Linked DNA regions of Drosophila melanogaster. The protein of the gene in region 1 interacts with the protein of each later gene in a pairwise test. Each region holds a gene or a part of one and is shown on either strand. Other genes may lie near its edges.

Region 1 (5,586 bases):
TGGCATACTTACGCAGTATGCACTGTAAATCCCATTTGAAGTATCTGGCCCTTTTCGCTCAATTTGGCAAATTCCCTCATGCACTCCATTCATTTCTAGTTTGCCTACTCGAGTCTCATTTCGTTTGTCATTCATCCAACGGCCGCCGACTTGCTCAGCTTTCTCCACTTTCCCCAATTTTCTCGCTCTCTTTGTGGGACAAGGCTTTGTTTTCCCCCTTTTCGAAGGACCCATCGTAGGCTCTGATTGTTTGTAAATAAAATCGCAAGTTTTATTGTCGCTGGGCAAACTTTGATTAAGAGCAGCATCAAAGTATTGTAAAAGTCTAAGTAGAAGCGGGGCGAAATTAAATTTTCAAGACAGCCTGGAATACTGGAATAAAAAATCCCCAATCCCCCAACTACTGGTAGTTGAAAACTTTGGAGCGCCACGGAAATCTGCACACACAAAACATATCAGTGGGTTGGAAAGTAGAAAAACAAATACCGAATTCGACAAACTTTACAAATTGAGAGAAATTGGCAGTTTTGACGGCATTTTTATTCGCATGCAATATTATTTCGTTATTTGTTCACTTCTTTCGGTTTGCACTCGCAAAAATCTAGAGATCATTTGTTTCAATCAAAATAGTTGCTCTACGAATTTTGTTTTACAATGCCAATGAAAGCAAATAATCCCATTTTGTACCAAAAATCATTTTCCAATTTTACGCCTAGAAAATAACACAATTATTCTCGTAACAATTGACAGAATCATTCAAATATGGATTGTTATACCTCGTTAAGTTTGTATTTAAATTCCCAATCGAACTGTGTCCAAAAATGGGAATTCTATTTTTTAGCCATTTTTTGTAAATTTTGATGATGTTACCCCTTCCGAAAATGCGAAAAATGACTCAAAAATTATTTTTTCTAAATTGGTCCAAAAGTGATACAGATGGTTAGCCTTCGTTATTAGCTGCTCAAAACAGTTATTTCTTTGGTTTTATGATCATTTTTAGTCAAGTTATGATGAAAACGCTCATCTAAAGTTGTTTAATTTTTGCCAAAATCATTTTTTTCGATTTTCCGTCATAAAATAGTCAGTTTTTTGGCCACAACTTTAAAAATAATTGTCTGAATACGGAATGTCATATCACGTTGAGTTCGTATTTAAATTCCCAATCGAACTGTGTCCAAAAATGGGAATTCCATTTTTTAGCCATTTTTTGTAAATTTTGATGATGTTACCCCTTACCGAAAATGCGAAAATTGGTCCAAAAATTAATTTTCCTAAATCGGTCAAAAAGTGATAGGGATGGTTAGCCTTCGTTATTAGCTGCTCAAAACAGTTATTCTTTTTGCTTTCTGATCACTTTTAGTCAAGTTATGATAACAATGCTCATCTAAAGTTGTTTAATTTTTGCAAAATAATTTTTTTCCATTTTCCGTCTAAGATCTCAGTGTATGTCTATAGTCTTTTGGATGCTTTTTTCTCGTACCTGTCTTTCTATGCGTTTGTTTTCCATTTCACCTGCCCAGTTTTTCGTACTCATCGTTGGCATTCCAAAAAAATGGAGTGCCACGTGACTCCTCGTTGTGGTGGTTTAGGGGGGGGGGGGGGAGGACTATATAGGTCGGGCGGATTGACGCCGCTTGTGCATTGTTTCGAGGGGGCGGACAAAGCACACAAATAACTGTCAAAGTTTCAATTCTTTTCGAAAGTAAAGCCCGGGTAAAAAAAAAAAAAAAAACAAGAAACCGAATCCGAATCCAAAAGCAAACAAAGGCAGAACAATGGTCGAGCAAATTGAAAGCTCTCGATTGGTATTCCTCTATTCCGGACTTGTTTTCCCACTTTTCACTTTTCATTAAAACAGAAGCAGCACGGAAGCGTTGAAAAAAAATCCGCAAAAAACAGCGAAACTAAAATTGAAGTCGCTCTACAAATGGATAAACTCAGTTTGGCAATGGATTTTATTTACAGATCTCATTCAAGGTTCAATTTATGAAACGATTAATAGTTAAAGCAATAAATTTTTTAAAGGGCCGTTCAAGTAGGTTCCATTATCCTTACATCCGCGATGAATGCATGGCTGTTCTGTCCAACCGACACGATAATGCACATACTCATACATATGTACATATATGTTGCACATCAATCCCCCTTTCGCCGACATGCAAAGTGCAACACCTCTCGTTCTTCGAACAATTTTAATTATTTCCACACGCAGCAGCGACGCACTCAGTAAGTCCATGGGCGGCAGAGGGAACCGGCAAAAGAGTGGTCGTTGGAGTGGGATGGTGGGGGGTGGGGGGGCGAACCCGACCGCAGGGAGTGTGTTGTTGGCTTTAACGGGGAATTAAGTCGGGCAACAGGAAGTCAGCGAGCACAATAATTAAGATGAGCGCTCGAGGGGCAATTATGTGACATCAACTTGCCAATTTTAAAACACCCCCGCCCCCCCGCAATCACGAACTCTCCGCATCCCTTTATCCTTCAGTCGAAGGATAATGCGAACGTTTTGGCCAACAGTGGGCTGTGTATAAAGATTTCTAACCATATATAAATATTCTTCGAACTGCATACTTTGCGACACATTCATACACTCAGAGAAAAAAACCTTTGTAAACTTGTAATCTTGGAGTTGGAGTTTTCCGAAACCAGTAGGCCCGTCTCCAACTGGCAACACTTCATTTCACCTAATTTGACAGGGACACACACAACACGTTTGCTCTACGGTTCGGTCGGTAGTACCAAATCTTATATACACTACATCTTCACAGTATAGCCATATATATATATTAATATTATCAAAATTTTCCACTAAACCTGCTTTGGAATGAGCACAGAACATCTGAATGACGCGGCGGAGTCCGTGAGTGCCCGGAGTTTGGCTTTGGATCGCGCTATCGTCAATTTGGTGCACCAGGCCCGTCGCCTCCATTTGAACAGCGTGAATGGCTATACATCTCTGGAGGCATCTCTGGAGAAGGCAGTGCCAGAGTTGCTCACGACTAGGAGTGATACCGCACACCCCACCACCACAGCGACCAGCTCGGCAAGGTCTTTCCCGAAGCGTAGGCCCAGTAGCCTAGCACCACGACCTGCGCCCAAGGCTTTCAAAATGCGCAAGACCGATACGCATCTGAGGACCCCACGTGTCGTCCAGTGTAAGACGGCCCGTATCCCGGTGACGCCACCACCACCGCCACCCTCGCCGCGTTGCCCAAAACCTGGGGAACTTAGTTCGGCCATGGACATGGCCGATCTGCTTCGGATCGAGATCGCCGAGACGGATGCACTGTTGGATCAAATGCTATTCGATGCCAAGGCACTCGAACGCCAGGTGGCGATCCAGTGTCAGTTGCAGAGCGATGCGGAAATGATCCGCAGCCTGGAGATGGAGTACAGTGGGCGATCCATGAGATATCTGATAGAGGCCATTCAGTCGGACTGCGAGAGCCAGGATGTCCAGGATCTCTGGAGCCGATGTCAACGCTCTTTGGAACGCCACGCGGAGCGACAGACGGAGCTGGAGTCCAAAGAGGGTCTGTATCTGGATCGGAATCCAGGCAAGGGCACCGGCAAGGGCACCCAAACCGATATGGCTGACTCTCAGGACGAGATGCTACCTATCTCGTCCAATTCGATTTGCCAATGGTTGCGAAGGGCGATGGGTTCTTTAAGCCAAGAGGATCAGGTGCAGGAGATGGCCATCTAGCGCAGGCCAGCCTTGAATAGTATTTGAATAAAGATACACAACTCTAAAATCACTTGTGTGCTCTGCTGTTTTAACGATGGCCCATAGAAATATTGAAAAGCTGCGATTAGACTAGAACTGCGAGGATTAATTAACTACTACTTGAAAAAGTATATATATTTGTTAACTGATTTATACAGTGATACAGCTCAGTGATTTGACCGAACTCATCTTACAATCTATCTATCCATTTAATAAAAAGATATTCGAAAATTTCTCATTTCTACATTTCGAGTGAAAGTACCACTGTGCCGCCGCAACTTTGTGTCTGCCTTTGAATGGTTGTGTGAGGAAAGTTTTCTTGTTAAGTTGCAGATTGAATGGCGCCGGTAAACACGGTGCGGCAAGTGCAGGGCTCCCAGCTTCGAGGACACCATGCATCCATGCCTCTGATTGAGCCAAATCCTGGCTCATAACTAATTGCCAGCAGCGACGACGATGGCGCTGGCAGCGGTGCAAAGTTTAAATTAAGTTGCGTGTCATAGTCGAAAAGTTTTCCACTTATTCAAAGAGGCACGTGCTCCACTGAGCACTACTCCACGGAGAAACTCCTGTCCTCCACTGGCCAATAACGCCAGCGAAGACGGAGGATTGACAAAAGAAATAATAACCAACGGATGGGAAATATATGCATTACTGCTTTACGTGCAAACAAAGTTGCAAATATAATGGAAAATCCATAAATCACAAGAAGCTACTGATAAAGTTAACCACTTAAGTAATTTAAAATGATAAGTTAACTGGGAATCAACATCGAAAATGCCGTGGTATATTTAATATTTTTTGGATTACATTTACACTTAGTTATTCCAACTAATAAATAGGCTTCTTTTATTTAGACATTTAATCAAATGCATAACATTTAAATGGAATTTTCTCTGCATGTGCAATCTCTTACCGCCATCACACACAGTTTTGTTGGGTTTATCACACTTCATCTTAGGATCATTTCCAGTTGATATATGTAGCCAGTGAATGGCAATCCGTGCTGTTCGTCTCCTCAATTCGTTTTCACCTTTGACTGCGGCTGCGGCGACGTTGATGGCGACTCATCGAAGTCCAGGTAATCTGCGTAGTCGCGTCGCTTGGACAGCGACAAGGTCCAGCAGATGATCCACAGCGGCAGGAAAATCGTGCAGATGACAAAGTACAGCCAGTTGCCATAAATCTGCAATAGGAAAGTATTTTAGTTTATTATCTATGTATGTTAGTAGTGGCAACTGAAATCTTAACTTACCACGGAATCGATAAGTCCATAAGCCGAGGCATCCATGGCCGCGGTGGCCGCCCTCAGCATGATCTTCTGCACCGGCAGCTCCGGGAACTGGTAGAATGTCATGGCCAGCACGATCACATAAACGACCATCATGGGATTCATGACCAGCGTGGCCAAGCGGATCGTGTTCCTCAGCGTGCTGCGCGAGTTCTCCTCCTTGGTCTCCAGCGCGATGACCAGCGGTACAGTCAGCACGGCCGCAAATAAGCCCAGGGCAAAGTTGAGGAGCCCGATGACTATTAAAGCGCAGCCATAGATTAGCAGAAAGGCCACATGCAGCAGCTCCAATCCTCCGGGCGGCAAAACCACCACAAAGGGCAGAACGAAACCGATCAGAGAAAGAAAACTCAGTACTGAGGTGGTCAGTGGTGCGGCGCCCATAGGAATCTCTAGGAAATATTGCTGCAGGGGCAGCACGTTGCACAGGAAACCAATCAACAGGGTGGCAGTAAGGTAAATCAATACCGAACCATACGGCAGCTCGAACTTATCCGGCTCTAGGTTCTCCTCCAGTTCCGCCTCCTGTTCGTGCTCCCTAAGCCAGCCAGCGGCCTTTTCCAGCTCAGCG
Region 2 (4,795 bases), on another chromosome or scaffold:
AATGGAAATATTCCCAGAAGAGCTTCGACTGCCAGGTAGCGTGTCAATTAAATGGTCATAAACAAGAGTGACGCCGTTCGACAGACAAAAATTTAAATAAAAATTGGAAAATGAAAAGTCAACACGCTCGACTCAACAGCGGAAACGAAAGCGAGCCCATGTCTCACTATCGATGAGCATCGATGTCTGCGTATACGTAATTTTTCAGTTGACATTCGTTTCCTGACTTTTTCTCAACTATTTATAGCCGAAGTCTGCTTTGTTGGGTAACTTCACTTGTGGTGGCTGCCGGTCTTCTTTATTGTCACCCAGCCATTTGCAGCCATTATTTAAATGGCCCAAATGAAAGAGGAGCAGCTGCGTCTGCGAAAGCCTCCGTTTTGGGCGACGGGCTGTGGATGATATCCCATTTCGAGGAACTCCCGAAAAGGTCGGGACCATATCGTTAGACTCAACTTTAAGTCCCAGCTGCCTAAGGATACTCAAAAATGGCATCCAATTGGCTTTAGATTGGGATTATGAATATAATAGCAAACGATTTGCCTGATGGCTTATAGATGGCAAAACTTTATTCCAAACAGTGATTGCAGTCTAAAGATATTATTAACTATTTTGTAGTTGTTTGTAGAGCAACAAAAAAATTCGGATGTATTTTAATGCAATATGGCTAGCTTTTTACGAATAAAAGAAATAATTTACATGAAATTGTAAAGCAGGTTTATAAATACTAGCACGCACCAATTAATAATAAATGTTTTTTATATGTTTCCTTTGTCTCATCCAATCGTGCACAGAAAATAAATCAGGAAACTTTGGTGACGAACGCCAGTATTCGCAAACTATCCAACATATATTGCACTAAAATGCATGTTTTTCTTGTTTTATCTTATATACATTTTGACTGTATGAGGCCAAACTCAGATTAGGATTTAAAGTACACCTACCTCCTCCCTGGAGGACTTAAGATCGGATGAGTAAATGGATTTGGATTACAAACGCTTCACATCTTGTCTCTGTGTATTCTGATATCCGCTTTCATCCGGACCGAGTGTGGCCCACTTCAAGCGAGTGGCATGCAAATAGGATCGGACCCAGAACGCCCTATTCTTGGCCTGCTCTTTTGGGTCTGGGCCCAGTTCCTTATCTGCCGCGCCCATCTGGGCCTGCCACTCGACGCCGACGTTGTCTAGAGTTGGATTCCCGGAGCGGGGTGCTCGGATGCAGTAGGAATAGGAGTAGGACTGGGCGTCTGGGTAGGAATGGTGCAGGATGAAGCCGGCTGCATGTCTGCAGCGTTTGGCTTAACAAGTGATAAACTTGTCGCTTGTCCGCTCCAAGTCCTTGGACATTTTATTATTCCCGCCTCTGCAGCGAGTGCCCTGTGGAAGCCATTACCCCATTCTCCATTCTCCATTCTCCAGTCACCAGCCCCCAGTCGCCAGCCTCCATTTCGATTCCCCAAGACCCCAACTTGCAACAAGACGCTGCAAATAGTTAAGTACAAATTGCATGGCTAATTTGAGCTGTTGCATAAGGCTTAAGAGCTCTCACGCACACAGACCCCACTTCACATCGTGTTGACAAGTTGACCGTAGAATTAGACGGAGAAGGTGTGAAGTGACAGAAGATTTGGCATGAGTAATGACCGTTGCGAGCTGTGCCCATGAAGTAGGCAGGTTTATTAGCAACTGTCGGAAAATAATTTCCACAAGCACTGAAAATTTGCGGGTTGCTTCCATATAATTCAGAACAGTACCGAGAGTCAAGGAACTCAAGTCCGCCCAGAGTTAACGGCTTAAACAAGACTACAATGTGTACTACCTGGAATTGGTAAATGGCTTCACATGGCCAAATGTACACTTACAAATATAACGTAATTCTACCCTTTTATCCATGCAAACTCAAATTAGCTCACAATATAAACTTTCTATCCCAAAAACTTTTTCGCGACAAAAATTGTCAGAGAGCAGTAGAAAATGAAACAAATAAAACGGAAAACTAAGTAGCTACATTTTGGTTCATACTAACGGAAATTCTGTTTAGAATGTAATCCCGAAAAATGTGTTCACAAAGTGAAGGGAAAAGTTGGTGTGGAGTTATATAGTTATATAGATATAGTTTTGGATTAGTATAAACTTGCAGATGGTCAGAAATGTATCTGATTAAAATCAAAACACAATTTAAAGTACCTGTTAAGCAAGGTAAAGCGAAAAAGTAGCTTGAATATTTATTTTGATTTCTTATATCTACTCCAATTTTAAAACCACATATGTATCTATTAGCGTATCTATTATTTCCAGCTCCTTGAGCGCGCTAATGCGATAAGTATACACGGCAACCACTGGGCCACAATTAACGCAGTTCGAAATAGTTTCACAAATAAAGACAACTAGCACTGATTCCCACACTTAAGTTTCCGTTGTACCCATAACCCAATTCGAGACTTAAGCCCCACTAATTATGATTTATTCCACATGTGGCCAACACCCCCGACCTCAGACCCAAAAAAAAAGCCCATTGAGGCAATTGAAACTCACCAAATGCAAGTGTTTGTTTAGACTTATTTACAGCAGCATTTGTATGCAGCTCGGGAGCGACTTTAACTTCATTTTAATGGTTATATTCACCGACATCGGCCGCTCGTTCGGACTCGGATTGTTGATGTTGTTTTACCTGTTACCGTTCTACAAACGATACGAGCACACAAACACAATCACTGCACTTTGGGGAAGATTTTCCAGAAATATTTTTACAAAACTCCGCGGTACTTTGGCCAAACAATTGGGCTTAAACCAACACAAGCAAATGGGGTTTGTTGCGGCAGGCGAATTTCGACAAAATAATGCTTTACACCTTTACACAACGGACTAATTTAGCATTTGCCTAATGGGGCGCAATGAGGCTTTGTTTTCGATTGGTTTTTTCTCTTTTTTTTTTCAGTGGGCCTGGCCAAAAAATGAATTCAAAAATCGAGCGGGTCGGCAGCCGAACGCGTTGAAACTCGTTTTTAGACTGAGTGGTGAGCTTTATGTTCGCAGTTAGTTACCCGCGCGAAAGCATCGCGAGTTCGATTCGAACATGTTGCCTTGCCTCCGTTCAGTTTTTCTCCTTCCTAACCAGGTGAAAATATAATTTTTAACACAGGCGTATGAGTGATATTCAAATTCGATGTAAAATACTGAACTGTGTAAAGAAATCCTTATTTAAATATCTCATTAATAAGAAATATTTAATGGATATATTTCATTTAAAATTATTTAGCATTGTTCTTAATTCTCACGTCTTTTAGTTTCCAAGACATCCTGTTCTAAGACTCTCTGTCGAAAGATTTACACGGAACTAAATTTCCCTCTGTTATTAGTTTGCTATTTACATACCTAACAAAAACTTTCACATTTTTTAAATCGACAAAATTCATCATCACATGATATTATTAATACTTGATTTGATTTATAAATAATCAAAACATGGTCAATTCTAACCTCTATCATATTTGCATATCAGCTGTTCTAGAAGAGCTCACAACCTAACTATTCACAATTCCGAATCTGGTCACGAAAATGACCGCAGAGGCAGAAGCAAGGGTTCGAGAAGTAGGATTGTTGTTTATCTAATAAAAATAAGTTTAGCCAGAACTCAAAAGTAAAACTCTAAATCTCAATTTTAAGGGAATTGTTATTTTATACTTTAAGAAGAATTTAAGCCCAAGATTGTTGGACTCAAACACCAGCTTGTTCGAATCGAACTTCAACATGCCAGCCCAGAATCGAACATGCTGGCAGGTTGCAATCAAACTATCTATCTATCTAACATATATCTATCGGTTGATCTATCTATCTATCTATCTTTATATCTATCTGTATATCTATCTATCTGTCTATCTATCTATCTATTTATATATCTATCTATCTATATATATCTATCTATTTACCTATCTATCTATCCATCTATCTATCTATCTATCTACCTATCTATCTACCTATCTATCTATCTATCTATCTATCTTACCATCTATCTATCTATCTATCTACCTATCTATCTAACCATCTATATATCTATCTATATATCTATCTATCTATATTATATATTCATCATCCACTCGGCGAATAAAACAAACGACACTGAGCTGCAGTCACAAATGAACTTCGTTCTTCTACCGGCAAGATGCCGTAGAATATGGCCAGAAAATAAAACGGAGCGCGTCCAGTTGGACAAGCACTCACCTTGTTAAAACCGAATCCAAAACCCAGCTGCCTTTACCTGCCAGCCGTGCCGTTTTAAAGTCGCATGATTAAGCAATAAATTCACACCAGGGCAAGAAAACGCAAGGCTTCTAGTTGCAGTCGCAATACCGAAAGAAAAACTGTGCAACTAACTATTTGGCAACATTTTAGGTAAACAAGTAGAAGTGCATTTTCAGCCACAGTTTACTCAAAACTTGAGGACACTTACCAAATTATATTTCATTTGTATAGCATCGAGAAATTTTATATATAAAATTTTTACATCGATTGTATGCAGTTTTCAGGTGTATCTACTACTCCAACTTTGGCGAAGATTTCCTCAGGCTAACGGTGTTTTGTTATTTATAGTAAATGTTACCTTTTGCTCCACTGCTTTCGGCCAGGTTTTCTATTTGTATTTACAATTGATTTGCATTTGTGTAACACTGTTTCCTCCATCGAGGAGCGGAAGCCAGCATCGAAAGAGCGACGGAGAAAGGTGTAAATATTGTGATTATGGTTGAGATTGAGATGTAGGTAAATAATATGGCCATCGGTGTGGGTTCAACAGG

Evidence for each region. Proteins that work in one complex are often made in the same cells at the same time.
Region 2: the proteins of CG15764 (region 1) and CG43861 interact in a two-hybrid assay, tested with the Drosophila melanogaster proteins (one large-scale study listed by BioGRID).

What each region holds. Positions count from the first base shown.
Region 1 is NC_004354.4:5,866,361-5,871,946, forward strand, and holds CG15764 (uncharacterized protein), read left to right. Parts: upstream 1-2,734; 5' UTR 2,735-2,821; coding exon 2,822-3,703; 3' UTR 3,704-3,906; downstream 3,907-5,586. Other genes in the region: GAA1 (glycosylphosphatidylinositol anchor attachment 1), read right to left, coding at 4,743-4,910, 4,980-5,586.
Region 2 is NT_033779.5:20,014,283-20,019,077, forward strand, and holds the start of CG43861 (uncharacterized protein), read right to left. Parts: upstream 3,001-4,795; 5' UTR 2,538-3,000; intron 1-2,537.